Linked DNA regions of Oryctolagus cuniculus. The protein of the gene in region 1 interacts with the protein of each later gene in a pairwise test. Links are inferred from orthologs where the notes say so. Each region holds a gene or a part of one and is shown in the gene's direction. Other genes may lie near its edges.

Region 1 (3,500 bases):
GCTTGGGCCCCTGCACTGTGTGGCAGACCTGCAAGAAGCTCCTGGTTCCTGGCTTTGGAGCGGCACAGCTCTGGCCATTTCGGCTATCTGGGGAGTGAACTGGTTGGATGGAAGACCTTTCTGTCTGTCTCTACCTCTCTAACTCTGCCTATGAAATAAAATCTTTAAAAGTTTTTTTTTTTTTAACAGTGACGAGTGGCCGGCGCCATGGCAGTGCCGGCACACCGGGTTCTAGTCCCGGTCAGGGTGCCGGATTCTGTCCCGGTTGCCCCTCTTCCAGGCCTGCTCTCTGCCGTGGCCAGGGAGTGCAGTGGAGGACGGCCCAAGTGCTTGGGCCCTGCACCCCATGGGAAACCAGGAGAAGCACCTGGCTCCTGCCTTCGGATCAGCGTGGTGAGCCGGCTGCGGCAGCCACTGGAGGGTGAACCAACTGTCCACTCTGCCTGTCAAAAAAAAACAGTGACAAGTTCAGGATTTAAAGTGGAGCAGCCAGGACTCAAACCTGCACCCATATGGATGCTGGTGCTGCAGGTGGAGGCTTAACCTACTTTGCCACTGCGCCAGCCAGGATGGCTGATTCTGGGCATCTGTGTACATCAGGAAGTCAATTTCCAAGAGCATTTTTCAGAGAAGCCATGTATTCAAGGGTCCTGTGTCCATGGTGCTCATCTTTTTGACTTTTTTTTTTTTTTTTGTAGGAGTGATTTATTTGAAAGTCAGAGAAGGAGAGGCACAGAGAGCGAGCTCTTCCGTCCGCTGGTTCATTCCCCAGCTGGCCACAGTAGCTGGAGCCGCGCCAGTCCGGAGCCGGGAGCCTCTTATGGGTCTCCCCACATGGGTACAGGGGCCCAAGGACCTGGGCCATCTTCACCGCCTTCCCAGGCCATAGCAGAGAGCTGGATTGGAAGTGGGGCAGCCGAGACTCGAACTGGCACCCATATGGGATGCCGGCACTGCAGGTGGCAGCTTTACCCACTACGCCGCAGCACCAGCCCGTTTGACTTTTATTTAAGAAACAGAGATCCCTCATCTGTTGATTTCACTCCCCACTCTATGGACCAGGCTGAAGTCAGGAGACAAGAACTCAAAGCAGGTCTCCCACATGGGTGTCAGGGAGCCAAGTATTTGAGCCATCACTTGCGGCCTCCCAGAGTCTGCATTAGCAAGAATCTGAAATCGGGAACAGAGCCTGGATTTGCATCCAGGCACTCGGGTGGGGGCAGTTGGCATGTTAGCCCCTAGACCAAACACCTGCCCCTGGCCTGTTTGTTTAGGACGAGCACGTGGAGTGGGAGAAGCCTGATCTTTCTCAGGCTGAGGTTGAGCAGAAGATCAAGGAGTACAACGGCCAGATCAACAGCAACCTCTTCATGAGCCTGGTGAGTGCAGTGCTCTGGCGGGGGTCTGCGGAGGGGCAGCCGTGGTAGGCTCAGACAGCCACTTTGGCAACACCCAGCCTAGCCCTAGGGTGTTCCGTGTCTCCCGGCAGCTAGGTCATGGTTGAGTTTGTTTCTCTCTAGAACAAGGATGGCTCCTACACCGGCTTCATCAAGGTCCAGCTGAAACTGGCCCGGCCCGTGTCCGTGCCCTCCAGCAAGAAGCCCCCGTCCTTGCAGGATGCTCGCCGGGGCCCAGCACGGGGCACAGCCGTGAAGCGCCACACCTCCTTCTACCTGCCCAAGGACGCCGTCAAGCACCTACACGTGCTGTCTCACACCCGGGCCCGGGAGGTCATCGAGGCCCTGCTCCGCAAGTTCCTGGTGGTGGACGACCCCCGCAAGTTCGCCCTCTTTGAGCGAGCCGAGCGTCATGGCCAAGGTGTGTTTCCCCCCGACACACACCCCGTGAGGATGCTTCAGGAGGTCTGTGGAAAAGGGAATTAGAAGCTTGGCTTATGTTGGTACACAAGAGATTTGAAGTCCAGGTATAGTTTAGAAAAAGCGAATTTATCGAGGCATTAGTGATTAGAAACAGTGGAAAACGAATCCCTCTAGGCTTAAAAGAGGGCTTTTTTTTTTTTTTTTTTACAGAGTGGATGATAGAAAGGTCTTCCTTTGCTGTTGGTTCACCCTCCAATGGCCGCTGCGGCTGGCGCACCACACTGATCCGATGACAGGAGCCAGGTGCTTCTCCTGGTCTCCCATGCGGGTGCAGGGCCCAAGCACTTGGGTCATCCTCCATTGCACTCCCTGGCCAGAGCAGAGAGCAGGCCTGGAAGAGGGGCAACTGGGACAGAATCCGGCACCCTGACCGGGACTAGAACCCGGTGTGCCGGCGCCGCAGGCGGAGGATTAGCCTAGTGAGCTGTGGCGCCGGCCCTAAAAGAGGGCTTCTTGAGGCACCACTCTATGTATTTTTTTTTTAAAATTGATTATTTGAGAGGCAGAGTGAAGAGTTCACACCCCAGTTGGCCAGCTGTTGTGGCCAATCTGAAGCCAGGAACTTCTTCCAGGTCTCCCACATGGGTGCCGGGGCCCAAGGACTTGGGCCATCTTCCACTGCTTTCCCAGGCCACAGCAGAGAGCTGGAGTGGAAGGGAGCAGCTGGGACTTGAACTGGTGCCCATATGGGATGCCAGCACTGCAGGCAGCAGCTTTACCTGCTACGCCACAGCACCGGCCCCCACATTGTGTATTTTCAAAAGGTAACTCAGGGCTGGCGCAGTGGGTTAACGCCCTGGCCTGCTCCGCTTCTGATCCAGCTCTCTGCTATGGCCTGGGAAAGCAGCAGAAGGTGGCCCAAGTCCTCAGGCCCCTGCATCCGTGTGGGAGACCTGGAAGCAGCTCATGGCTTCGGTTTGGCATAGCTCCGGCTGTTGCGGCCATCTGGGGAGTAAGCCAGCGGCTGGAAGACTTTGTTGTAAAAAAACAAAAAACAAACAAACAAACAAAAACCACTTTTTTTATTTGATTTGATTTAAAGATTTATTGGAAAGTTACACAAAGAGGAGGAGAGGCAGAGAGAGTCTTCATCCACTGGTTCACTCCCCAGTTGGCCAGATCTGTGCCGAACCGAAGCCGGGAGTTTCTCTTCTGCTTTCCCAGGCCACAGCAGAGAGCTGGATTGGAAGTGGAGCAGCTGGACTTGAACCGGCACCCATGTGGGATGCCCCAGCACCAGTCCCAATGAAGCAGTCTTTTCATGAGCTTTTTAAAGACCTCTAGGCTGTGCCTGCCCCTGTGCCTGCCCCTGTGCCTGCGGGAGTGGAGGCAGCAGGACCTCTGATCTCACACCTCTTTCCCCCGGCCTGGGCTGCAGTCTACTTCCGGAAGCTGGCGGATGACGAACAGCCCCTGCAGCTTCGGCTCCTGGCAGGACCGAATGAGAAGGACTTGAGCTTCATCCTGAAGGAAAATGACTCCGGGGAGGTGAACGTGAGTACCCAGTCCTGCTCAGTTTCCTGCTTTTAATGAACAGAGACAAGCCCTGTACAGCCTCCCCAGGGCAACGAAAGGAAGGGCTTCCAGGCCTGTCAGGCCAAGGTCTAGGGCAAGCCCAAG
Region 2 (4,267 bases), on another chromosome or scaffold:
CAAGCACTTGGGTCATCTCCTGCTGCTTTCCCAGGTGCGTTAGCAGGGAGGAGGATTGGAAGTGGAATAGCTTGGGCTCAAACTGGCGCCCATTTGGGATGCTGATGTTGATGTCCAGGGGAGGCTTAACCTGCTATGCCATAACGCTAGCACCAGAATGGGCTCATTTCAAAGGCTCTTTCCAGTTTTAACGTCTTAGTGATTTAGTGTATTGTTGTTCTTCTTCTTGTTATTTCTGAGCAGACTGTGGATCTTTAATAAATGCAAAAATGCATAAAATGTTTAATCTCTCTTCACAGAATTTGACTTTGTTTCAATAATACAAGATCTTTGTGAATGTAAAATAACAAAATTAGGGGAGCATATAATGGTTTAAAAACAAATCCGACCAGCCTAGCCCCAGCTGTTGTAGGCATTTGGGGAATGAACCAGGGACGGGCGCTTTCTATCTCTGTCTCTCAAAAAAAAAAAAAACAAAAAAAAAAAGTAAGCTTATTACAATGAAACTTAAAATAATGCAAAAAGAAGACTAAGCTTGTCTAGACTGCTAATAGACAAGATCAATTTAGGTTAATATTCATATTATTCAACACTTTTTTCATTGTTCTAACCACCAAAAAAGCCCCGTACAACTGTACATCTTGGCGACTTCTAACGAAAACTAGCAAATTCGTAATGTCGTGGCTGTATGTGCTCATTAGAAAAATCATATGCACGAATTTAATCAACACACACAATATGGATGAATGAGGGCGTCAAATTACAATAGGGTGAGCTCTGCTGGGAGCAGGTTTGGGGGAAAGGCCAGAAGAAGGAAAGCCACTTTCTTTTCTAGGCACCAGAAGTTGTGATAAGCTTGCCAGCTTATCCATCCGGCCAGAGAGCAATACCCCGGTGCACCGAACCTTGGTGCCGGGAGAGCTCTCACTACAGCAATTATTTTCTCTGTAATTAGACGTAATTATTGTGAAATGTAGCGAGGCGCACAGTCAAAATCAAACCAGAATTTCCAGAAGTATCCTTAGTACTGAAGCTACAAATGTCAAATGGCTGGGAAAAAACATAACCAGTAATTATAAACAAAACTAGAGAAGGAAGCGTGGGCAGTTAGTAATACTTCAAAGGCCTTTGGGATGCACCCTTGGGAATCCAGAGAAATGAGTCCAATCAGATGCGGGCAAGTGCAGAAAAGGCAGGAGGGGTGCAGCTCTGGCCCCGCTCAAAGGGACGCGCCCCGCACCTGCCTAGGCCGGCTCCGGGATCCCGCGAAGGCCTCATCCGGGTGCTCGCCCACTACCACCTCCGTCTTTCCCTCTCCGAGGCAACGGCCCGCCCCTTCCTCCGCCCTCGTCTCCACCTCCTCCCCACCTCCAAGGCGCCTGGCTCCGCCCACCCACCCTGAGCTGAGCCGCGGCCGGCCACGCCCACCCAGCGCAGGGCCAGGCTCCGCCCACCCCCGCCTGGCCGCGGCCGGCTCCGCCCACCCAGGGCGCTGGGCTCTACCCGCCGTCTCAGGGCCGCTGCCGGCGGCCGAGGGGCGGGGCGGGCCGGGAGGAGCCGCGCTCCGGAGCGGGAGGGAGATCCGCCGTGGAGTTACGGGAAAGTTGGTCCGAGTTCCCGGAGTTTTTCTCTGTGGTTCCCTGGGGCTCGGTCTGCCGGCACCCCGGCTCCATTCCTGCCTCTGGCCTTCGCGGTCCATCGGGTCCCTGTTTCTGCCCCCGGCCGCCATGGAGCAGCCGCCGGCGCCCAAGAGGTAACGAGCACTAGGAGCGGGCAGCCCGAGGGGAGCGGCGGCCGCAGGGCGGAGGCGGCTAGGCCGGGCTCTACCGCGACCCTCTCTCCGCCTTGCCGGGACCCGAGCCTGGCGCGCCGAGGGTCGGGAGGCAGGTCCGAGTGCCCGGCGCCATCTGTCCGCGGGGCGACTGGGCCTGAGGGGAGTGGGAGCCCGCCCCGGGCCGGCAGGGCCTGGCGCGCGTGGGGAGTTGGGTGGGCAGCGCCAGGCTCCCCCGGGCCTGACCTCCGGGGCCGGGCAGGGTTTTCCCCTCGTGGCGAGTTCACGCAGCCTGGAAGCCCTAAAACTAGGAAATTATGTACAATTATTTACAACCACGTAGGCTCTCTTGTCAAAGTATTTTTCATAATATTGTCCCCCCCCCATCCTTTTTGGGAAAAGGCGGGTTGTTTATTTACAGTTAAGGAATTAAATATTAATAGCCACAGAGTTTGTAAAACTTACTGTGAGTATGCCGCACTGACAGGTGTTCCTCCTCCTCCCCCTCAAGTTCAGAAGTATTTGTGGAGGCAAGACAGTAGAAATCTTAGAACCCTCCTCCATCGACTTTTGCATGTATAAATAGTGATGCTTTGGTATGGTATTCATCGTTATTTGCTCTTTGATAGATTAGCAATGTATGTGTACAGAGTAGATGTGTTAAGTATTTGCAGTGATCTTAGGAAGCTAAATCAAGGTTATTCATTGATGCAGGTTCATAATGTGCGTTTTCACCTTAAGAGCGAATCAGCTTATTGACGTTGGATAACACATTTAACCTCAGTCTTGTTTTTTTTTTTTTTTTTTAATTTATAAAAAATAAGGGCACTTCTCTCTCTCCTGGGGAGAGCTGTTGTGTCGATTAAAGAGTTCATGTGCTTTGATGCCTAGAGATCTTTAGATGAAAGGTGGAATAATTAAAAAGGTGGGAGCTTTGGGAGCTGTTGAGAGTTGTGAGACTAGAGACCTGTGTGGCCTGGAAACCATCTGTGCAGGGGGTGGGGATGGGGATGGGTGTGTCCTAGAGGGATTTTTCAAAAGGGCTATCAGCTAGGAGAGCCCAAGGTAACGGATAAATTATTTTCTAGAATTTTCTAGGGTGTCTGTATTCTAGTACTCACTGGGCACTCCCTTTGCTACTACAGAGAGAATTGGGCCCTTTTTCTTTCCTGTGTTGGGAGGACTGTAAGTGGGACACCTCTGAGATCATGCCAGAGGCCAACTTGAAAGAGTTTGAATGGAAGCATCGGCTCTGTCTGTTGATTATTTCTGCTGTCAGTTCTGCCGGTTGCATTATAGGTGTAAGAGAATCTGTGGCCTTGCAGAGACACTAGACAATCTGGAAGAGTCTGGGGGAGGTGTGGGTGGTGGTGCCATGGTGATTTATACTTTTCAAAGTGGTGGTTGCACATTAGCAGACTTATTTTTAGCTCTTTTCAGAGAGACTTATTTTGATACAGGAAGGCATTTCTGAAGAGCAAAAGATGCGTGAAATGAATCCTTTATATTTAAATATCTCAAGATTTTTTCATGGCGTTTTCCTATCCATAATATTTAATCCTCACACCAACCCTGTGGAGAATTTGGATTAGAGGCATTAATCCTGGTTTATAGATGAGGACATTGAGAGAGTTTCCACAGGGGAAGAAGGCTATGCAGGAATTACAGTGTATATTTGTGTTACTCCCTTGATCATTGCCTTCTAGTAATAAAATATAGCTACTATTTTTGAGATCATAATATTCACTAGGAAATTTATACAGTCAAGCATTGCTTAATGACAAGGATAGTTCTGAGATATGTGTCACCAGGCAATTACACAGTCATGCGAACACCATACAGTATACTTAATTAAACTGAGACAGCTGTGATGGATGATATATGGCTAGGTGATGTCATCTTTTGGGACCATCTTCATATGTGATCTGTCATAGACATGAGGTTCATGACTATATATACGTTCTTTTATTTAGTGATTGTTAGAAATAGTAATCCTGGCTCCATTTCTTAGTATATTAGTATGTTCTTTTTTATTTTTATTTTTTGAAAAATTTTTTTTATTTGACAGAGTTAGAGAGAGACAGAGAAAGGTCTTCCTTCTGTTGGTTCACTCTCTAAATGGCCGCTACGGCCAACGCTGTGCTGATCCGAAGCCAGGAGCCAGGTGCTTCCGCCTTGTCTCCCAGGCGGGTGCGGGCACCAGTGCCCTCCCTGGCCACAGCAGAGAGCTGGCCTGGAAGAGGAACAGCCGGGACTAGAACCCAGCGCTCATATGGGATGCCGGTGCCACAGGCGGAGGATTAGCCAAGTGAGCCATGGCACCGGCCTCTTTTTTATTTTTTAAAGATTTATTTTTATTTATTTGAAAGACAAAGTTACAGAGAGAAAGGAAGATACAGAGAGATCTTCCATCTGCTGGTTCACTCTCCAAATGGCCACAATGGCTGGGACTAAGCCAGGCAGAAACCAGGAGGCAAGATCTTCTTCCGGGTCTCC
Region 3 (3,500 bases), on another chromosome or scaffold:
CAAGACAGAGAGAGAGGTCTTTCATCCTCTGGTTCACTCCCCAAATGGCCGGAATGGCTGGAGCTGAGCCGATACAAAACCAAGAGCCAGGAGCTTCCTCCAGGTCTCCCATGTGAGTGCAGGGGCTCAAGGACTTGGGCCATCCTCTGCTACTTTCCCAGGCCATAGTAGAGAGCTAGATCAGAAATGAAGTAGCCAGGATGTGGACCGGCACCCACATGAGATGCCAGCACTACAGGCCGGGACTTTAACCCACTGCACCACAGCATCAGCCCTCATTTAATTCTTACCAGACATCACTGTCTCATTTCTGTAGATGCAGAGGGCCTGGAGAGCCTCAGGGGGGCAGAGCCATGTTTTAATCATAGGGTGAGTCCGTTCTAAGACTGTGTTTTGCTGGTCTGTTCTCTACAAGACTGGTTAAAAATGTGGGCTCTGCAGCCACACTGCCTGGGTTTGAATCTTGGCTCTGCCTCTTACTAGGTAGGAGACACTGGCAGCTTACTGAGCCATCCTCCTCCTTGGCTCGTGTGTACAGATGATAACGTACTCATATAGGAGAGTCGTTACAAGTGTTATGTGAATCAGTTTATGTAAGGCACTTAGTGTCTGGCATATGGAAAACACTATGTAAGTGCTAGCTATTATTATTCATTTGTAGAGCAAGTCCTTTTTCTTGTGAATGATAGCAACTTAATCTAAGAAGCTTCAGGCCTTCTCCAGCCACCTCTCTTCCACACCCCAACAACAAGGTTTGTGTGTATATTCCCAAGAGGCGTATGTAGTGATCATGTAAAGTCCTTAGACTGGTGCTTGGACTGTGGGCAGCCCCCAGCGTTAGCGATGCTAGGATAGCAGTGCCAGACACTGAGGGGTGGGGAGTGTCCATCCTCAGTCAGCATGAAGTGCTCAGCATTGTGCGTTCAGAAACAGGAAAGGGCACTGTCTAGATGTGTCTCTCACCCAGAGGACCAGAAAGAGGGACAGACACTGTGTAGACAGGTCCTTCATAGAAAGGACAAGAATTAGGAGGCAACCACTGTTGCATTCAGCAAGTTACTGTTATTTTAATGTCCTAACAAGTATTATTTAAAAGATAGAGGAAGTGAAAGTATTATTCACTAGGTTCATGGGCAGGGCACATTCAGAGGTCAGTACATAGTTTTCTCACAGGGACCTACTGTCCCAGAACAACTTCATGATATGCCATTCATTGGGCTGAATTGTCCCTGTCCAACCCCCATGACCTCACACTCACAGTGTCCCCCTCTTGTCTCCTTTCACTCTGGACACTGGGAAGGCGGGGCTTCTCTGCCAGCCTGCTGCTGGCCTGGCTTTGTTGTGACCAGATTTTCCACTTCTCTTGTAGCTTAAGAGTTGGACAGTGGAGGACCTTCAGAAGAGGCTCTTGGCCCTGGACCCCATGATGGAGCAGGAGATCGAAGAGATCCGACAGAAGTACCAGTCCAAGCGGCAGCCAATCCTGGATGCCATTGAGGCTAAGAAGAGGCGGCAGCAAAACTTCTGAGCAAGGCTGGGACCAGGCCGTGGGTCCCTCGGATCGCTCGCCTCCACATTTGTTCTCCAGCACTTCTCTTTTTTCCACAGCACCTCTGTGAACTCAGGAACGTGCGCCAGTGGAAGGGCTGCCTTGCCAGTCAGCGTGCCATCTTGTTGTGTGTATCTGTGTGGGTCAGCTGTGTTATTTCAAAAGGTGGCGCTTTTATCTCAGAGTTTTACATCCCAGGAACAGAGACTCCTAGTGGAGTGATAGCTGAGAAAGTTTTACATCATCTTTTTGTTTTCTTCTCCCAATAGCTTTCGATTGTTCTTTCTGGAAGACTTTTGAAAGATATATAAATATGCACATATATATATAAATTATAAATAGATTCCCCACTCAGTGTGGTGGCATCACTGTACAGGTACAGTTTTGAACAGTTGCCTCTTTTCTGTAAGATTATGGTACTGTGGAACAAGGGGGCAGAGGACCCCTGGGGGCTGCAAGAGCGGTCACTGAATCCCAGGAGCCAGCCTTACCCTTTGTAGGACTACTTTTAAAAATAAGGCTTTGTGTAGTTTTCAGCTTGCATGGTCGCCACTGGCCTCTGGGGCTGTTGGTGATGTCCCAGGGAAAGCTTTGAGAGTTTGTATTTGCTCTTGAACCCCAGGAGCGGCCTGGCATCCTCTTTGCCCATCCTGTTTCAACACCTCTCATCCATCTCCACTCTCCAAACTGCCTGGAGTCACAGTACAGATACTTCCCAGTGCCTTACGAGGAGACGTGATCCAGCGGAGGGACAGGCCTGCCAGGAACTCACAGCAAACCTACAGCTGTGCTAAGCCTCCAAAAGGGAAAGGTTTTCCAAGCTCTTCGTGTGTGTTCATGTGAAAGTCACACACATGGCATTTTTCTCTGCATTGCTTGTAGACAGGGTAGAGGGCATTGCTGTTGCTGATTCACATTCATATGTGACTCTTTTTTTTTTTTTTTTTTTACCGTTAAGGTGTTTGGATACCAGACTAAGATTTCTTTTCCAGGAAGCTCAACACAGACATGTAGAGGGCCTAAGCTGGGAGGGACCATAGAGATCATGTGGTCTGGTCCTTTGTTGTGTAGATGAGAAAACTGAGGCTTAGAGAAGGGAAGTGACATGGTCAAAATCATGAGGCAAACCAGAGTAAGAATGAGACTAGAACTTGGAGCTCCCCTCCTGGGCCACGTAGCCAAGCAGCCCTTTGACATGTGTCAGTTCTAAGTTAGGGTATCCCAGGAAGCTCGTTCACAAAAAGTTGATCTTGCCTGGCCAAGCACTCGTGGAGGACACTGAGGCCTGAGGTAGACCAAGGACTTTGCAAGAGAGCATGGAGCCAGCCTCCTGCAGCTTTGGCTCAAGGCTCCATGACGTTGAGGCACACAGCAGAGTAGACAGTTAGGAAAGACAAGTATCTTTTTATTTTCTTCTAATATTCCTTCCTCCCTTGAGTTAGGGGAGCCACGACTGGGTTACACCTGAGGAAACTAATTTGACTGCATGATTGCTACCCAGAGAATGTTCCTCTTCTGTAGGTCAGATTCTGGTTTTTTTGTTTGTTTGTTTGTTTTGTTTTTTGGGTTTTTTTTGGCAACTAAAGCAACTTTTTAAAAATGTAGGAAGCAGTTGTTGGTCTTCAGGGCTTGGTCAGTGGAGTAACTGTGTGGCAGATATGCAAAACAGAAGACAGTTTGTGTTGCTAGAATAATAAATGGCAGCCAGCATCTGCTGACCACCTGCTCTTGGCAGACAGGGCAGGCTCTCAACTTCACAATCACCCCTGAGTTAAGTGTTTTACCTCTGTTTCATAGATGAAGGAATGGGCTTAGGGAGAAAGGGTCTTCCCACGGCAATAGAGCTACGAGATGGTAGACTCACTGTCCAGGTCTAATACTCTTATTTATGAGGGAGAAGAAAATCAGAAGTGTGTTTAAAATGAAGTGACTACATAACTTTATGTGACGT
Region 4 (3,500 bases), on another chromosome or scaffold:
CCCCAAGCATTGTGTGGTGTCCCCGAGGCCAGAGCTGACCCAGGCCGGGTCGCAGGAAGCTAGCTAACCCTGTCACCCTGCTAAGGGCAGCCATCCCCTTCTCCCTGTCCCGGGCATGGTGGCCTGGAGCCTGGACAGGACCTGGGGCTCCGTGCAGCACCTCAGGGGCCACCACTGTGCTCCCAGCCCAGGGCTGGGTTCCAGGCTGTCCTGCAGGTGGGCCGGCCAGCAGTGGGGCGGGAGCGGGTCCCACCCGGGCATCTGCACCTCCTGATGGCAGCGCCTGGCTGGACCTGCCTAGAGGGCAGCTGAGCCTGCTGGAGAGGCCCTGGGTGGAGCCTGGCACCGCCACAGGTCTGAAGGGGGGGGGGGGCGCTGAGGAGACCCTGCGCTGGGCGCCAGTCGCTCCCTGCCAGAGGCCCAGGCCCCTCTGGACCTCGGGGTGGGCAGGTGCCAGTCTGCAGGTGTGCAGTGGCCTCTGCCCCCACCCTGGCGGGGCCGGGGGTCTCAGGTCCCACGTTGCTTTGGCTGAACTTAAGACGAGGGCTGTAGCCCAGGCACGGCGAGCACTGTGGGTCCCCATGGGCCTGCCTGGCCGGACGCAGAGGCAGAGGTGTCCCTCGGCCTGCTCCTGGCCCCCGTGGAGGGGTCTGTGTGCTGAGGGCAGCCCCCTCACCGACACTGGGGGTGGGGGCCCTGTGTGTGCCGTGTGGCGCAGGACCGAGATGGATTTCTGGGGCGCGCGCGGGTGCTCATCAGTCTCCCCGCTCGCTCAGCGTCCTGGGGAGCGGCAGCTGGTGGGATGGCAGGCACTCCATCAGGGGCCGACAGCTCCAGACTGGCGTGCAGGCGGGTGGGCACGGCGCCGGGCGGCCCGGGACGGGGGGGCTGTGCAGCCCCCAGAGCCCGCTCCGCTCGCCCCCTGGAGCCCCTGCCTGCCCCCACCTGCCCAGAGGGGGTGCCTGTGGTGGGCTGGAGCCTCTTCCCTGAGGGTCGCCCTTTGCTCCTGCCAGAGGCCCCGGTGGCCCCAGCCTGGCGGGGCGGGGTGGGGGCTGCCTCCAGGCTCTCCCAGGGGGGTCCTGGGTGGGGAGGGCGGCTGGCCCCAGGACCCTGCATACAACCCCTCCCAGCTGTGGGGGGCACCCTCATGAGGGGGCAGAACCTTGTCCTTCCCCCAAAGCAGCCCCCGCCGCACCTGAGCGACCGCCCCCTGCATTGTGGGGTGGGGCCTGTTAGCTGGCCTGCCCCCCTGGGCATCGGGGTGTGGCCTTACTCCACTGCTCTGGTCCTGCTGGTGGGCTGGCTGGAATCAGGCCCACCCCAGTCCAGGCACAGTAAGCACCCAGGGGTGCTTGGGGGGGCCTCTTAGAGCCCTGGGCTGTGAGGGGGGTGGCTGGGGTGCAGGTCCCAGCCCAGCCCGGGGCTTCCGGGTCCCATCTGCAAGTGTGTCCAGGACCAGGGTGCAGAGTGGCAGCTGCCGGGCACCTGGGGAGGGAGGGCCACTGCCCTGAGTGCCTTGCCCAGGGGACGCCTGCCGACCCGTGTCCTCTGAGCTCCTCTGGGGGTGGCCTGTCCCTGTGTCGTCCCCAGCTCTCAGCCCACAGTGAAGCAGCTGCCTAATTAGCAACTTCCCTGTCGTTCAGACTCTGTGCTCGGCAAAATGTAAATGAGGCGTTTTCTCGGGTGTCAGTGTGAAAAATGGCGCAGCGCGGCTCCACGGAGCATCTGCCGTGTCCCCGAGCGCCGCGGTACTGGGGGAGTCGGCCCCCGCGCCTGGACCAGGGGCTGTCCCAGGGTGGGCGGCAGCTCTGCCCTCGGCCCCAGGACTGTGCTGCTGGCCCTTCCTTGCCAGTGCCAGGCTCTGTCCTCTTGGCTGGAGGCCGGCTCAGGCCAGCAGCCACACCCTGGAGCCTGGGTGCCCGGCCAGTGCCTGAGCTGGGCACCAGCTGACCTACTGCCTCCCCCTCCAGGAAGGCCAGGTAGGTGGGCCCAGGCCTCCTCCCCGTGTCCCAGGTGTGCAGGTGGGCCTGGCCCCTTTCCGGCGCAGCGAGCCTGCCTTCCCGTCCCCCACCCTCTGCCTGGCGTAGCTGGCCAGCGACCTGGACAGGGGCCCTCACCGCCTGTGTCCTCACAGGGGAGTACATCAAGACCTGGCGGCCACGCTACTTCCTCCTCAAGACTGATGGCACCTTCATCGGCTACAAGGAGCGGCCACAGGACGTGGAGCAGCGCGAGTCCCCACTCAACAACTTCTCTGTGGCACGTAAGTGTCCCCTCGGCCACTCCGGGTTGGACGTGGGGCGGTGCCTGGAGTGGTCCGTGCCCTGTGGGACTGGGGGCCAGCCCTGGCTGGCGGGGGCCTGGGCCAAGCTGCATGGCTGTCCTGTGGAGCTGTTCCCTGAGCCTCCTGCCCAGAGGGGACAGCTCGGGCTATAGGGAGCCTCCAGGCTCTCCCAGGGGGGTCCTGGGTGGGGAGGGCTGCTGGCCCTAGGACCCTGCATACAACCCCTCCCAGCTGTGGGGGGCACCCTCAAAGCTGGCCAGTGCCACTTTTTCCCCTGCCTGGCTCCCCAGTTGTCCCTCCCACGATGCTGGCTGGGGCCGGGCAGGTCCACTGCCACTTTCTACCACCTGGCAGCCCAGCTCTGCCCTGGGGCTGGCCTGGGGCAGCTGGGGGCGATGGGCCTGCCAGCCGTGGGCCTCTGGGTTCTGCCCCTCCCTCTCCTTGGCCAGCACCCTGGGGTCCTCTGGCCCCTGGCCTTCAAGGGCCACCCAGGTTCTGGTTTGGGGGCTGCAGGGAGGTCTGGCACAGGTGGCTCGACCTGGGCGTCGCCCTGCCTGTGGGCATCTGCGTGGGGATGGGCTGCGGCACTGGCTGCTGGGTCATCCCTCCCGGGGCCCACTCTGTGCTAGAGGAGGGGCCTGGCCGTGGGGATTCCCGTGAGCCCCAAATGCCACCCTCCCCGGCCTCAGGCCCAGCTTCCTGGGCCGGAGGCCACCAAGGAGGCGCAGGCCAGTTCCCTGGAAGCCTTGCTATGCCCGCTGTGGGGGTGAGGCAGGAGGGGCCTCTGCAGAGGAGCCCATGGGGGCAGCGCCAGCCGGGGGCAGGGGGCGCTGCCTGGCCAGGGCGAGAGCCAGCGTGTGTGTGCGGAGGGCCTGTGTCCAGGGGCTCTGCCTTGTGGGAGGACCGAGTGAGCTTCCTGCCCGCACAGACACAGGCCGCCTCCCACCAGGCTGGGCCCCGGGCCCCCACGCAGCCCCTCGCCCGGCAGACCTGGCCCTCGTGGTTGCCAGGGTGCTGGTGCTGGAATGCACACGCTCCCCGGCTGTGGGCGTGCGTGCTACAGGCACACGTGTGGCAGGCGTGCGTGTTCCAGGGGCGTGTACTGTAGGTGTGCGTGTTCCAGGCGCGTGTACTGTAGATGTGCATGTTCTAGGCGTGTGTACTGTAGGTGTGCGTGTTCCAGGGGCGTGTACTGTAGGTGTGCGTGTTCCAGGCG
Region 5 (3,500 bases), on another chromosome or scaffold:
GGGGATCAGTGTCGCATTCATTGGCCCGCCTCATGGCCTCATCAGCAGGCCATGACTCAGGGAGGAGAGCCCCTGGGACCGCCCAGTGCCCACCCCGTCCCCGCCCCTGCCCCAGAGAGACTTGGCTCCCGCTAACCCTGGCTGTGTGACCGTGGGCTGACAGCACCTGCCTCAGCCTCATCCAGTCCTCGGGGGAAGGGGGGACGGGGGGAGGCGGGGCAGGGGGTGGGCACAGCGTCTCCCTTGGTCAGGGCTGAGTATGGCGCGCCCACCCCGCAGACGTGAAGCCGTCCAACGTCCTCATCAACAAAGAGGGCCACGTAAAGATGTGTGACTTCGGCATCAGCGGCTACCTGGTGGACTCCGTGGCCAAGACCATGGATGCCGGTTGCAAACCCTACATGGCTGTGAGTGCCCTCAGGGAGCCAGGGGCCTGGGGGCGGGGCCTTCCATGGATGTGTATCTCCGCACCCGGAATGGTCCCTGGGCATCAGCGGGGTGGGGGTGGGGGTCTCCCCTGGGCAGATGCGTGCGGTTTCTGCGGGGCCCAGCTCCGTAACCCCCATGTCAGGAAGGTGAGGGGCCGTGAGGTCAGGACTGGGCCTGGCCGTTGTGGGCCTGTTTCCCCCTTTTTGTGGGTGTCGGGTGGTGAGGCAGGGCACAGCCTGGAGGGGGCGCTTACACCTTGCCCTGTCCCCCCTGCAGCCTGAGAGGATCAACCCGGAGCTGAACCAGAAGGGCTACAACGTCAAGTCCGACGTCTGGAGTCTCGGCATCACCATGGTAACGCGTGTGTGTGCGTGGGGGGCGGGGCTGGCTGGGGTGGGGGTGGAGCTTCAGACCTGGGGCGGAGACGCACCTTGCGGAGTTCCCACCTGTTAGGGGCCACCACATGCCACCGCATCCCTTCCTGTAGTGGGTGTTCTCTCTGCTCATGAGGAAGCCCAGCCAGCGTCAAATCCAGCGAGCCCCAGGCAGGCCAGTCATCCGCACGCAAAATCAGTCCTGGCCGGTGGGCTGGAGACACCCCCGGCTTGAACGACAGGGAGGCTGGGCTGGGGTGGACGCACCCGCGGCCCTGGTGCAGGGATGGGCCCTCGCCCCATACCTGTCAGAGCTCAGGGAGGGGTGGGGTCAGGTGTGTTTAATTGTGTCTGGCTCCTATTCCGGCCTCTGTTATAGAAAGCCCAGTGGGGGTGGGAGGGAGGGGATGATGGGCTGGGCACGTGAGGGGTCTAGGAGCCGGCCCCACCCCTCCACGAAGCCCAGCGGGAGGTGTCCTGGAATCCAAGGCTTCCCTGTTCACCCTGGGCCAGGGAAATCCTTGCCTGCCTGCCCTGGGCCCTGTGGCAGTGGGTGAGGGGCACGTGTGTGTGTGTGTGTGTGTGTGTGTCTGTCTGTCCTGGGCGATCCCCTGGGACTGACATCAACGACCTGGAGTTGGTGCAGACTCCACGGAGCTAACGGCTCAGTCCCACGAGACTGACTCCAGCCGCTTCTTCCTCCGGGGCTGCCAACGGAGCAGCTAGGACTCGGGGGCTCCCAGGCCCGCCCCTGGCTTGAGAACCTGCCACCAGCTGGGGTGACGGCTGGCCTGGGCTGGGCTCTCTGGTGTAGTTTAGTTCTTTGCCTCATGGGTTACGAAAGTAATAGAACCTGATTTAAATACAGAGAATAGTAGGTGCCCCCCTACTTTTTGAGCTCTTTAGAAGGAATTCCCAGAAAAGCATTTCTGCCTTTCTAAGTATCACCCCCCACCCCTACTGGGCCCTTGGTACAGATTGGAATCAGGGAAAAGAGGATACTGTGTGGCCACGCCCCTACCCACCACAGTGCAACTCCGCCCCTCCGTGGGCGTGGCCACGTCTGGGCTGCTCCGTGCTGGCCAACAGCGGGCCGGCCTTTCGTGTTAGCCTGGATCGTCTCCGCTCCTCAACATGGCCTGCTGGCCGGGCCATGCATTGGACCCACGGATTCTGCGCTGTTGCAGGCAGGGGGCCTGGGCTGGCTCTAACAGCCAAAACCCGAACCCAGGGTTCCCTGTAAGCCAGCCTGGCCCTTCCACAAAAGTCCTGCCGCCAACAGGGGTTGGGGGCCCAGCAGGTGGAAGGAACGGTCAACCCAGCGTCGCTCAAGAGGAGGCAGACTCTGGGGGAGGCTGGGCCAGCCCCAGGAGGTTGGAGTGACCACCAAGAGGGATGGGCTCCCTGGAGGCGGTGCCTGGCAAAGCGCCCCTATCGGGTCAGGTTCCCCCTGCAGCCAGAGGCCCGGTGTGAGAGCCACCTGTGACCTGCTGCCTTCCAGGGGCAGGGCCCAAGGCTGCCAGCTCCTCCCACAGTTCCAGCGCGGCTGGGCCCCGGATTAGGTACAGTCTTTCTGAACGCAGGCCGTTAGCAAAGCTGGTGCCTGCCACACCAGTCCCCAGGCTGCCGCGTTGCACTGGGACAGGCAGCGTTGCAGCCCCTCGGCCTGCCCTGGCTCCCGGCACCGGGCCGGGCCGGGCTGGACAGATCCTGCCGACCCCTTGGCTTCTGGCGCAGGGTGCGGGTGCGTCCTGCTGACTCCCGCGTCCCCACTGCAGATCGAGATGGCCATCCTGCGATTCCCTTACGAGTCCTGGGGCACCCCATTCCAGCAGCTGAAGCAGGTGGTGGAGGAGCCGTCCCCCCAGCTCCCGGCCGACCGCTTCTCCCCCGAGTTTGTGGACTTCACCGCGCAGTGGTGAGTCTGGCCCTGCTGAACCCCTGAGCGCCCCTCAGTAGACAAACCCCAGATCTCCCCCCTGGCCCTCAAAACACGCACAGCCTCAGCCTGGCCTCAGCCTCTTTCTTCTCCCACAGCCTGAGAAAGAACCCCGCCGAACGCATGAGCTACCTGGAGTTGATGGTAAGTGCAGGCAGGTGGGCTGGGGGGGCAGTGTCCTGGGGAGGCCGCACCCCTCCACGTGCAGACAGGCAGCTCCCGTGTTTACTCATTTTGGAGTACTCGGTCATCCCTGGCTCCCTCCACCACACCAGGCCCTGTGGGACAGGGGGATAAGCAGTGGCATCAGGGAAGGCTGCATGGAGGAGGTGGCCTTTGAGACTGGGAGGAGGGGGCGTTCCAAGCAGAGGGTGCAGCGTGTCAGGGGGAAGAAGGCGTTTGGTTCTTGTGGCCAGACGGCTGTGGAGGAGCCATGAAACCTATCTCTGGCAGTCATGGAGGGCTTCCCTGGGCAGGGGTGGCGGTGGTCCCAGCAGGGAAGTTAGGAGTTTGTCTGCAGGAAGAACCCACGTGGTGACATTGCCTCCTGCTGTCACTTGCAGGAGCACCCTTTCTTCACCTTGCACAAAACCAAGAAGCCAGACATCGCTGCCTTCGTGCAGGAGATCCTGGGAGAGGACTCATAGGGGCCAAGCTGGGGCCCCGCCCACAGCCATAAGCTACTGCCCTCCTGGCCCTGGGCATCCAGGACGAAGCCAGGGGCTGCTCCTGCCTGGCTGTGTGAGGAACTGTCGGTC
Region 6 (4,121 bases), on another chromosome or scaffold:
GCAGAGTTAGAGGGAATTACATCAGATTGTGCATTCCCCAAATATCAACAACGGGTCCTGGCTCTGGCCAGGATTCTGGAGTTTATCTGGGTCTCCCTTGAGGGTGCAGGGTCCAAGTACTTGGGCCATCTGCTGCTTTCCCCAGATGATTAGCAGGGAGCTATATCAGAAGTGGAGCAGCCAGGACTCAAACCAGAGCCCATATGGGATCCGGGGATGCAGATAAAGAGGCTAAACCTGCGGCTCTGCAACCCCGGTCTCTCCATGCAAAGATTTTACATTTTGTTGTCTTCCTATATAATTTTTCTTAGCTAATTTAAACTATTTTAGGAGGATTAAAAAAAACCACACTAAACACTTTCCTATGATAATAAAAGCTTCAAAAACATTTTTGGATGGCTACACGGTGTTTCATAATGGAATCAAATAATTAGCCATAGCTTTAATGGTCCGCGTTTATTTCCAGTATTTCAAATTTATACAAGATGGTTTAAACATTTGTCATTTTTAGAGCATAAATCTTTGTAAAAATCCTCGGTAGACGTCAAATAGCTACCCACCGAAGTTTTTGCCATTTGCACTTCTAAGGCTTCTGCTTTAGATTGTTCAAGCCATCACCACGGACAGGCTGCGAAGAATGCTGGGGGCAGGTGAGGGATAGAGACGTGTGGAGGCCCCTGGAGCAGCAGCTGCTGGCAGAGCAAGAGCCTGGAAGCCTGTGAAATGCAGACGCCCGGGACTCAACGCAGACCCACCAAATTCGAATCTGCACTTTAACAAGCGTCCCTAAAGCGCCGGCAGCACTGATGGCCGCACGTTGGAATCACCTGGGGAGCCCTCAGATGCCCACTGCCCGGGTCGGAACCTCTGCCCGAGGAGCAAACAATTCCTCTCCAAGAGATCCTACGTGGGGCCGATTTTGAGAGCCAGAGCGCGGGGGCGCGGATAGGAAACGAACTACGAGGAGGGCAAAGTTGGTTCGTTGGGCTCAGGTAATGAGGAACGGGAATTGGAGGAAGCGTCCCAAACAGAAACCCACGCGGCCCTTTCGGATAGTGTACCTAGCTCCTAGGTAACACGATTTCAAAGAAAGGCGTGGGAACGCCTGGAGGGCTTTCTCCTGAGCGCCGGCGCACGCGCTCCAGCAGAGGGAAGACTGCGGCTTACCTAGCTTAGGGCCGCGGTCCCCGCCCCTCCCGCCCCGCCCCTCTCCCCCTTCTCCGCCTCTCCCCTCCCGCGCGGCGGCCGGTGTGGGCCGTGGGCGCAGGCGCACTGCCGCCACGCTCGGGGTCAGCCTCCGGTGACGTCAGGACGCCTCACGGGTTCCAGCGCCGCCCCCCCCCCCGCCTGCCCCCGATTGCCGCGCGGGCCGGACAGGGGCGGGGCGTAGGGCCAGCTGAGCTATCCCGTCAGACCGCGCCAGTTTGAATGAAAGCTCCACAAGATGGCGGCGGCCGGGGCTGAGGCGCAAGGAGGTGAGGCTGGAGCGTTGCCCCCTCTTCCCTCTCCGTTCCCAGGCACGCTTCTGAGGCCTGGGAAGCGGGGCCGTCCCGCGGCCCAGCCAGGCGGCGACGTGGCGGGACTCCGCCTGCCGCCTCGCTGACACGCCGACCCCAGGATGCGCTCTGCGGGCGCCTGCCCCCTCCTCCTGGCCGCTGACCCTCCTGAGGGCCTGGCCCGCTCCTCTCGCGTTCTCCCTGCCCTCGCTGTGCGCTGGAGGTGGGCGCCCGCGCGAACCGCGGCCGCGCCGGGCTGTGTGGAGCGTCGCTTCCCGCCGCGCGCTCGGCCCGGCCCGGCCCCTCTGGGCTGCCCGCGGCTGCATCGGGCGTCGCGGTAACTTCGCTGTGGGCTCCCGGCTCGAGGGTTCGTGGGCACGGCTGCGATGACTCCTTTGTGGTCTTGTGAGCCGGCCTTGTGGTGTTCGCTTGGGCGTTTGGGAAGCGGGAGAGAGAGAACCCGCAGGTGTAAACGAGACCCTGGTATCACAACAGCGAGGGAGAGGAATTGGGGTTGAAGTGGGGTCAGAAAGGGAGCGAGTGAGGCGCAGCCGAGAGCGGACACGTAAGAAGGTCTAATTGCTCCTCAGTGAGATCTCGCAGAGACTAGGTGTGTGAAGATGCAGCCTCTGGCTGGCGCTAACTTTTCTTCCCCCTCCCCCCGGGAACTTGGCGTTATTTATATGGACCTCGAAGACTCACACTGAGCACGCGCGCGCGCGTTTGTGCGCGTGTTCGTTTGTGTGCGCGCGCTTTGAAAGCCTGGAATTTTCAAATGCATTCTGGAATTTATAGGTTCTTTCCTGCTCTGCTCTGCTCCACATAGATTATCTCCTCACTATCCCAGAACTTTTCTTCCTTTAAGAATGGCGATGGATAGCGTGAGCTACTGGAAGGTTTTGATAGTGGTGTTGAAATAGTTAATATTGTCGATGTACTTTTTCTCTGTTACTATAGGCTGTCGGATTTTTTTTTTAACCAAGTGTTTTTAGCTTTTTTATATTCTAGTTTGTTTCTTCTCCATCGGTGGTGGTGTTTTAGATCCTCAACTAGATAAGAATGGTTCGGAACAGCCCACCACACATACCTTAGGTAGATAGATATCCAGGAGGCACCTCCTTGGCACCGGATCAGCTAATGAGGTTCACTTTGCACAGAACAACCTCAAGGTTTTTGGATGGAAGGAACTTAAAGGAATTAGTATTTTTCTACCCTCTACCACCACTCCCGGTCAACTTTTTCCCCAGCCTCAGTTTTCTGGGAGAAGTACGTTTTCCTTCCTTGATTTAGAACTAGGAGTCCTTGGCAGGGGGGCAGTGGTGGAAATTGTGCTTAAGGGTTTCTGACATTGAAGACCCTGTGTGAGTTGGGGGTGAGGGGATGAGGAAAGAATGTAGTAAAGTTAAAGCAGCTGTACTCTCACTTCCTGCAAATTTCCTCAAAACACAAAAGGTTATGGCCACTACCTTGGAGAGCTACCACATATGGCTTGAGTTTACTGATTCTATTTGGCAACCCAGTTTTTTTCAGTGAATCTGATCCCAGAAAGATTGCAAACCATGTAAGCTAGAGCAGACGATTCTTGATCCATCTAGTGCTTACAATGACACTAGCCATAAAAGCAAGTTTATTACATTTTTCTAAACATCACTTTGTGTTGATTTGTATTGTAAATTCAGCACGACAGCCTGACTACAGGAATTTGGAAGTAAAATCTTATGCAACATAAATAGTTTCCTGGCTTCTCTAAGGTAGATTAAATCCAATTTTCTTCAAATTGGGTATGTGGATTCTGTAAATTGAACACTGTATAACTCCTGGCTTTAAAAACAATACAGGAAATTAGTATTACCAAAAAAGTCAATATACACTGAATTTTTAGAATTATAGCACTTGGGTTGATAATACATTACAGCGTGGGCAAAATATTAAGTGGAGTTAAATTTCATGCAGGATTTCAAAGTGGAAAAATTAGGGCAAATAATGCCTTTGTAATTTAGAACTATGTTTTAACTAGGTCTCTGTTCTAATTATCCAGTTAAAAGAAATGAAAAAAGTTACTTTTTAAGAAATTAAAGATTGTGTTTTAAAATATATTATAGATGTACTTCTAAACAATAAGAATGCCCTGGAGATCTACATTGTATGACAATAATTGTATTCTATGTAGAATAAAATGGAAAAGTAAAAAACATCACCTCTGTTGACCTTGGCATCTGTATGTTATCTTAAGAAAAAGTTATAGGCATGGGATGTTTTGTTCAAGTGACTTAGTAGAAATTAATGTCAATTGAACATAGCAGGATAAAAATTCATGAGAAAAGTCCAAGACCAATTATCAAAAATAGTTCTTTAATACTTCATCTTGAAGACACATCATTGTTTTCTTGTCATATGAATTTTTAGTTGTGTAAAATTTCCAGTTGAAGGGTGGGGATATAGAAGTTTTAAGATTATCTTTTTTTTTTTTGTTCTAATTGAATAGCTGTTTCATTAGTAAAGAATTCTATTTTCTTATTGTAGCTTGGTGTGTGCCTTGCCTAGTTTCACTTGATACTCTTCAGGAATTATGTAGAAAAGAAAAACTCACATGTAAATCGATTGGAATCACCAAAAGGAATCTAA
Region 7 (3,500 bases), on another chromosome or scaffold:
GCCCGGCAAAGAGCAAGCAGAACTCACCTTGTCTGGAATCAGCATCGCTGTTGGTGGATTTTCAGCTGTGGAGGCAGAGTGGATGTGTGTGTTCCGCATAGTCGTGTGAGGCAGCGTTACTGACTAGTTTTACAATTAGAGCCATTCCTGTCTATAATGAGCAATTATTTGAGAGTCTGCAGCCTGCAGTGGATTTACCCATGGACACACAATTCTAGGAAGTTTTCATATCCCTGAAGTCCATAGTAGAACCTAAAATTAATAACCTTTTAATTAGAAAAATCCTCAATTAAGGCTGTTTCATCTAGAAGCAATAAAATTGGAAATAGATATTATCAACATCCTAATTGAATTTCTGAACCACTCACTAATTTGCCTGCATGATAATAACCCAGATTTTTTTATTGTGGTAAAATACACATATCTATCATAAAATTACCATTTTAGCCATTTTTGAACATTCACATGTAGTGCTGCGATCACCACTATTTTCTAAGTGTTGTCATCATCCCAGAGACTCTATACCCATTTAGTTACTTCTTCTCCCTCCCCCAGCCTCATGGAACCTCCATTCTACTTTCTGTCTATGCATTTGACAATTTTAGGTACCTCCTTTAAGTGGAGTCATACAGTATTTGTCCTTTTGTGACGGCTCGTTTCACTTCAAGTCTCATCTGTGTTGTGTGGCATGTATCAGAACTTGCTTTTCAAGGCTGAATTTTGGTCCACTGTGTGTTTAGAACGTGGTTGTTTATCCATTCATCCATCATTAGACATCAAGGTTGTTTCCACCTCGTGGCTGTTGTGCTCCTGTTTTCACTTCCTTTGCTTTCACTTCCTTTGGATATATCCCCAGATATACCTTAAAGCATATGGTTGTTCTATATTTTGCTTTTTGAGAAACCAAGTTTATAGTGCACCTGCAGTACACATGAGTTCCAATTTACCCATATCCTTTTTTTTAAGATTTATTTTATTTTTTATTTGAAAGAGTTACACAGAAAGAGGAGAGGCAGAGAGAGAGAGGTCTTCCATCCACTGGTTCACTCCCCCATTGGCTGCAACGGCCAGAGCTGCGCCTTACCCGTATCCTTGATAACAAAAGTTATTATTATCCTTGATAATTTTTATTATTTTCCTGGGTTTTTTTTTTCTTTTTAGCCGTCCTAAGTGAGTGAGGTAGTATCATAGTGTGATTTTCATTTATATTTACCTAACAATTAATAGTATTGAGTGTTTTCATGTACTGGCCATTTGTGTATCTCCTTTGGAGGAATAGCTATTCAAGTCCATTGCCCTTTTTTAATCAGGTTGAATTTTTTTGTTATGGAATTGTAGGTGTTCTTTATATATTCTGAATGATTCTAATATATGTTTTGTACACATATGCTCTTGTTTCATTGGTTGGTTACCTTTTCCACTGGTTGATAATGTTCTTTGATGAACAAAAGCTTTGAATATTTTCTTATTGTCTGTTGTTTTTGGTGTCATCTAAGAAGTCATTCCCAGATCAGTTACCAGGCAGCATTTACCTTTATGATTTCCTCTGAGTCTTGTAGTTTTAGCTCTATTAAAACAACTACCTAGGTTCGAACCAGTCCTCCCACCCACCTACCCAGCTACTTCCAGGCCTTACCTGCTGTCCCGACACCCCAACTAGAATTGAGTTACACTGGCCTTGTTTCACCCTGATTCTAAGAATAGGCAATCAAGACTCTTGTTTTTTTCATCATAGTGGACACATCTGTGATGAATGAATTCACCAAGCAGCCAGATGGCTGGTTTATGCAGATGGGCATCACGAACATGAACCAGGGCAATAACCATCAGACCCTCAGTCAGCTTTCCTCTATTAGGTTACTTTTTTTAAAACAAAACCCCAGTTGGCCATCTTTTGGCCATAATAAATATTGAACGTGTGTCACAGTGGTTCAACAGAAACCCATTGCCATAGCTAAAGAAATGACTCGCAGAGGATCAGTCTCTTCATTTTTCTGGAAGACAGAATTGTGTTGCTAAGCAGTAGAGCATCCTTTAGTGTGTGTTTGGTTGCGTGGTCCCTTGATGCTGACTGGGAGGGACCTACTAAATAAAACCCCACCAGGGGCAGGTATTGTGGCCCAGGGGCTTCTGCCCACATCCCACATCAAAGTGCCTGGTTTGCATCACAGTTACTCCGCTTCTGATCCAGCTTCCTGCTGATGCACCTGAGAGGCAACAGATGATGGCCCTGCCACCTGGATGGGAGACCTGGATGGAGTTCCTTGCTTCTCCTGACTTCTGCCTGGCCCAGCCTCAGCTGGCACAGGCATTTGGGAGTGAACCAGAGGATAGATGATCTCTCTCCTCTCCCTGTCACTCTGCCTTTCAAATAAATAAAATCTTCTAAAAAGATGTCCACTCCGTTGTCAGCTGCTGCCTCTGTGTCTGTTCGAACTGCCTCGTACACTGAGGTGCAAGCCGTCAGGTCATCCCAGGCTGTGGCGTGGCAGCCCTGGCCGCCTGGCGCTGACATGGGACGGGAAGCTGACTTGTGTTCTGCCCTCTCTCCAGGTGATCAACTGGGAGAACACGCTCCACATTCCCGCCCAGGTCAAGCTGAGCCCCGAGGCCAGGGACCTCATCACCAAGCTGTGCTGCTCGGCAGACTGCCGGCTGGGGAGGGACGGGGCCGATGACCTGAAGGCCCACCCCTTCTTCAGCGCCATCGACTTCTCCAGCGACATCCGGAAGCAGCCGGCCCCCTACGTGCCCACCATCAGCCACCCCATGGACACCTCAAATTTTGACCCCGTAGATGAAGAAAGCCCGTGGAACGAGGCCAGCGAAGGGAGTGCCAAGGCCTGGGACACGCTCGCCTCCCCCGGCAACAAGCACCCAGAGCACGCCTTCTATGAGTTCACTTTCCGGAGGTTCTTTGATGACAATGGCTACCCCTTTAGGTGCCCCAAGCCCTCAGGAGCAGAAGCTTCGCAGTCTGAGAACTCAGATTTGGAAAACTCCGATCTGGTGGATCCGACCGAGGGCTGCCAGCCGGTCTATGTGTAGCCGTGCACCGGGGCCCTCAGGGCGCTCCGCCGCTGGGGGGAGCAGCCCAGGTGGGCTACTTCTCTCGAGACTGTTCTTCACCGTGACCGCCCCACGCGGAAGCTGAAGGGACTCCACGTCCAGCCGAGCTGCCTCTCTCGGTCCTGCTTGACAGGCAGGGTGGGTCGACGTGACTTTGAGTTGGCTTTTGAGGACCTACACTGCATCAAAACAATATTTTTAAACATTTAGTACAGTTTAGAAAGAGCACTTATTTTGTTTATATCCATTTTTTCTTACTAAATTATAGGGATTAACTTTGACAAATCATGCTGCTGTTATTTTCTACATTTGTATTTTATCCGTAGCACTTATTCACATTTAAGAAAAGACATGAAAACTGAAAAACATGTGAGAAGAAATGTCTGTGCAATAATGTAAAAAAGTTAACAAGACAACACTCTTCCCAGATG

What was found.
Region 2: the proteins of RASSF1 (region 1) and STK3 interact in binary tests that used the Homo sapiens proteins (3 or more experiments, as listed by UniProt). The link is inferred for Oryctolagus cuniculus from reciprocal best matches to the Homo sapiens genes RASSF1 and STK3.
Region 3: the proteins of RASSF1 (region 1) and STK4 interact in binary tests that used the Homo sapiens proteins (3 or more experiments, as listed by UniProt). The link is inferred for Oryctolagus cuniculus from reciprocal best matches to the Homo sapiens genes RASSF1 and STK4.
Region 4: the proteins of RASSF1 (region 1) and AKT1 interact in a protein complementation assay, tested with the Homo sapiens proteins (2 studies listed by BioGRID and IntAct, with this or other methods). The link is inferred for Oryctolagus cuniculus from reciprocal best matches to the Homo sapiens genes RASSF1 and AKT1.
Region 5: the proteins of RASSF1 (region 1) and MAP2K3 come close enough for resonance energy transfer, tested with the Homo sapiens proteins (2 studies listed by BioGRID). The link is inferred for Oryctolagus cuniculus from reciprocal best matches to the Homo sapiens genes RASSF1 and MAP2K3.
Region 6: the proteins of RASSF1 (region 1) and SUV39H2 interact in a two-hybrid assay, tested with the Homo sapiens proteins (2 studies listed by BioGRID and IntAct). The link is inferred for Oryctolagus cuniculus from reciprocal best matches to the Homo sapiens genes RASSF1 and SUV39H2.
Region 7: the proteins of RASSF1 (region 1) and LATS2 come close enough for resonance energy transfer, tested with the Homo sapiens proteins (2 studies listed by BioGRID). The link is inferred for Oryctolagus cuniculus from reciprocal best matches to the Homo sapiens genes RASSF1 and LATS2.

What each region holds. Positions count from the first base shown.
Region 1 is NC_091441.1:98,984,783-98,988,282, forward strand, and holds part of RASSF1 (ras association domain-containing protein 1), read left to right. Parts: intron 1-189; exon of another isoform or gene 190-207; coding exon of another isoform or gene 208-393; intron 394-1,274; coding exon 1,275-1,379; intron 1,380-1,520; coding exon 1,521-1,818; intron 1,819-3,258; coding exon 3,259-3,374; intron 3,375-3,500. UniProt on the Homo sapiens protein: Potential tumor suppressor. Required for death receptor-dependent apoptosis. Mediates activation of STK3/MST2 and STK4/MST1 during Fas-induced apoptosis by preventing their dephosphorylation.
Region 2 is NC_091437.1:124,350,155-124,354,421, reverse strand, and holds the start of STK3 (serine/threonine-protein kinase 3), read left to right. Parts: upstream 1-1,467; 5' UTR 1,468-1,727; coding exon 1,728-1,753; intron 1,754-4,267. UniProt on the Homo sapiens protein: Stress-activated, pro-apoptotic kinase which, following caspase-cleavage, enters the nucleus and induces chromatin condensation followed by internucleosomal DNA fragmentation.
Region 3 is NC_091442.1:14,101,282-14,104,781, reverse strand, and holds part of STK4 (serine/threonine-protein kinase 4), read left to right. Parts: intron 1-1,369; coding exon 1,370-1,528; 3' UTR 1,529-3,500. UniProt on the Homo sapiens protein: Stress-activated, pro-apoptotic kinase which, following caspase-cleavage, enters the nucleus and induces chromatin condensation followed by internucleosomal DNA fragmentation.
Region 4 is NC_091451.1:46,976,398-46,979,897, reverse strand, and holds part of AKT1 (RAC-alpha serine/threonine-protein kinase), read left to right. Parts: intron 1-2,134; coding exon 2,135-2,263; intron 2,264-3,500. UniProt on the Homo sapiens protein: AKT1 is one of 3 closely related serine/threonine-protein kinases (AKT1, AKT2 and AKT3) called the AKT kinase, and which regulate many processes including metabolism, proliferation, cell survival, growth and angiogenesis.
Region 5 is NC_091448.1:65,853,500-65,856,999, reverse strand, and holds part of MAP2K3 (dual specificity mitogen-activated protein kinase kinase 3), read left to right. Parts: intron 1-279; coding exon 280-407; intron 408-705; coding exon 706-783; intron 784-2,581; coding exon 2,582-2,721; intron 2,722-2,840; coding exon 2,841-2,886; intron 2,887-3,305; coding exon 3,306-3,389; 3' UTR 3,390-3,500. UniProt on the Homo sapiens protein: Dual specificity kinase. Is activated by cytokines and environmental stress in vivo. Catalyzes the concomitant phosphorylation of a threonine and a tyrosine residue in the MAP kinase p38.
Region 6 is NC_091444.1:41,036,862-41,040,982, reverse strand, and holds the start of SUV39H2 (histone-lysine N-methyltransferase SUV39H2), read left to right. Parts: upstream 1-1,321; 5' UTR 1,322-1,444; coding exon 1,445-1,475; intron 1,476-1,561; exon of another isoform or gene 1,562-2,106; intron 2,107-2,180; exon of another isoform or gene 2,181-2,762; intron 2,763-3,175; exon of another isoform or gene 3,176-3,247; intron 3,248-4,019; coding exon 4,020-4,121. UniProt on the Homo sapiens protein: Histone methyltransferase that specifically trimethylates 'Lys-9' of histone H3 using monomethylated H3 'Lys-9' as substrate.
Region 7 is NC_091440.1:91,902,692-91,906,191, reverse strand, and holds part of LATS2 (serine/threonine-protein kinase LATS2), read left to right. Parts: intron 1-2,553; coding exon 2,554-3,048; 3' UTR 3,049-3,500. UniProt on the Homo sapiens protein: Negative regulator of YAP1 in the Hippo signaling pathway that plays a pivotal role in organ size control and tumor suppression by restricting proliferation and promoting apoptosis.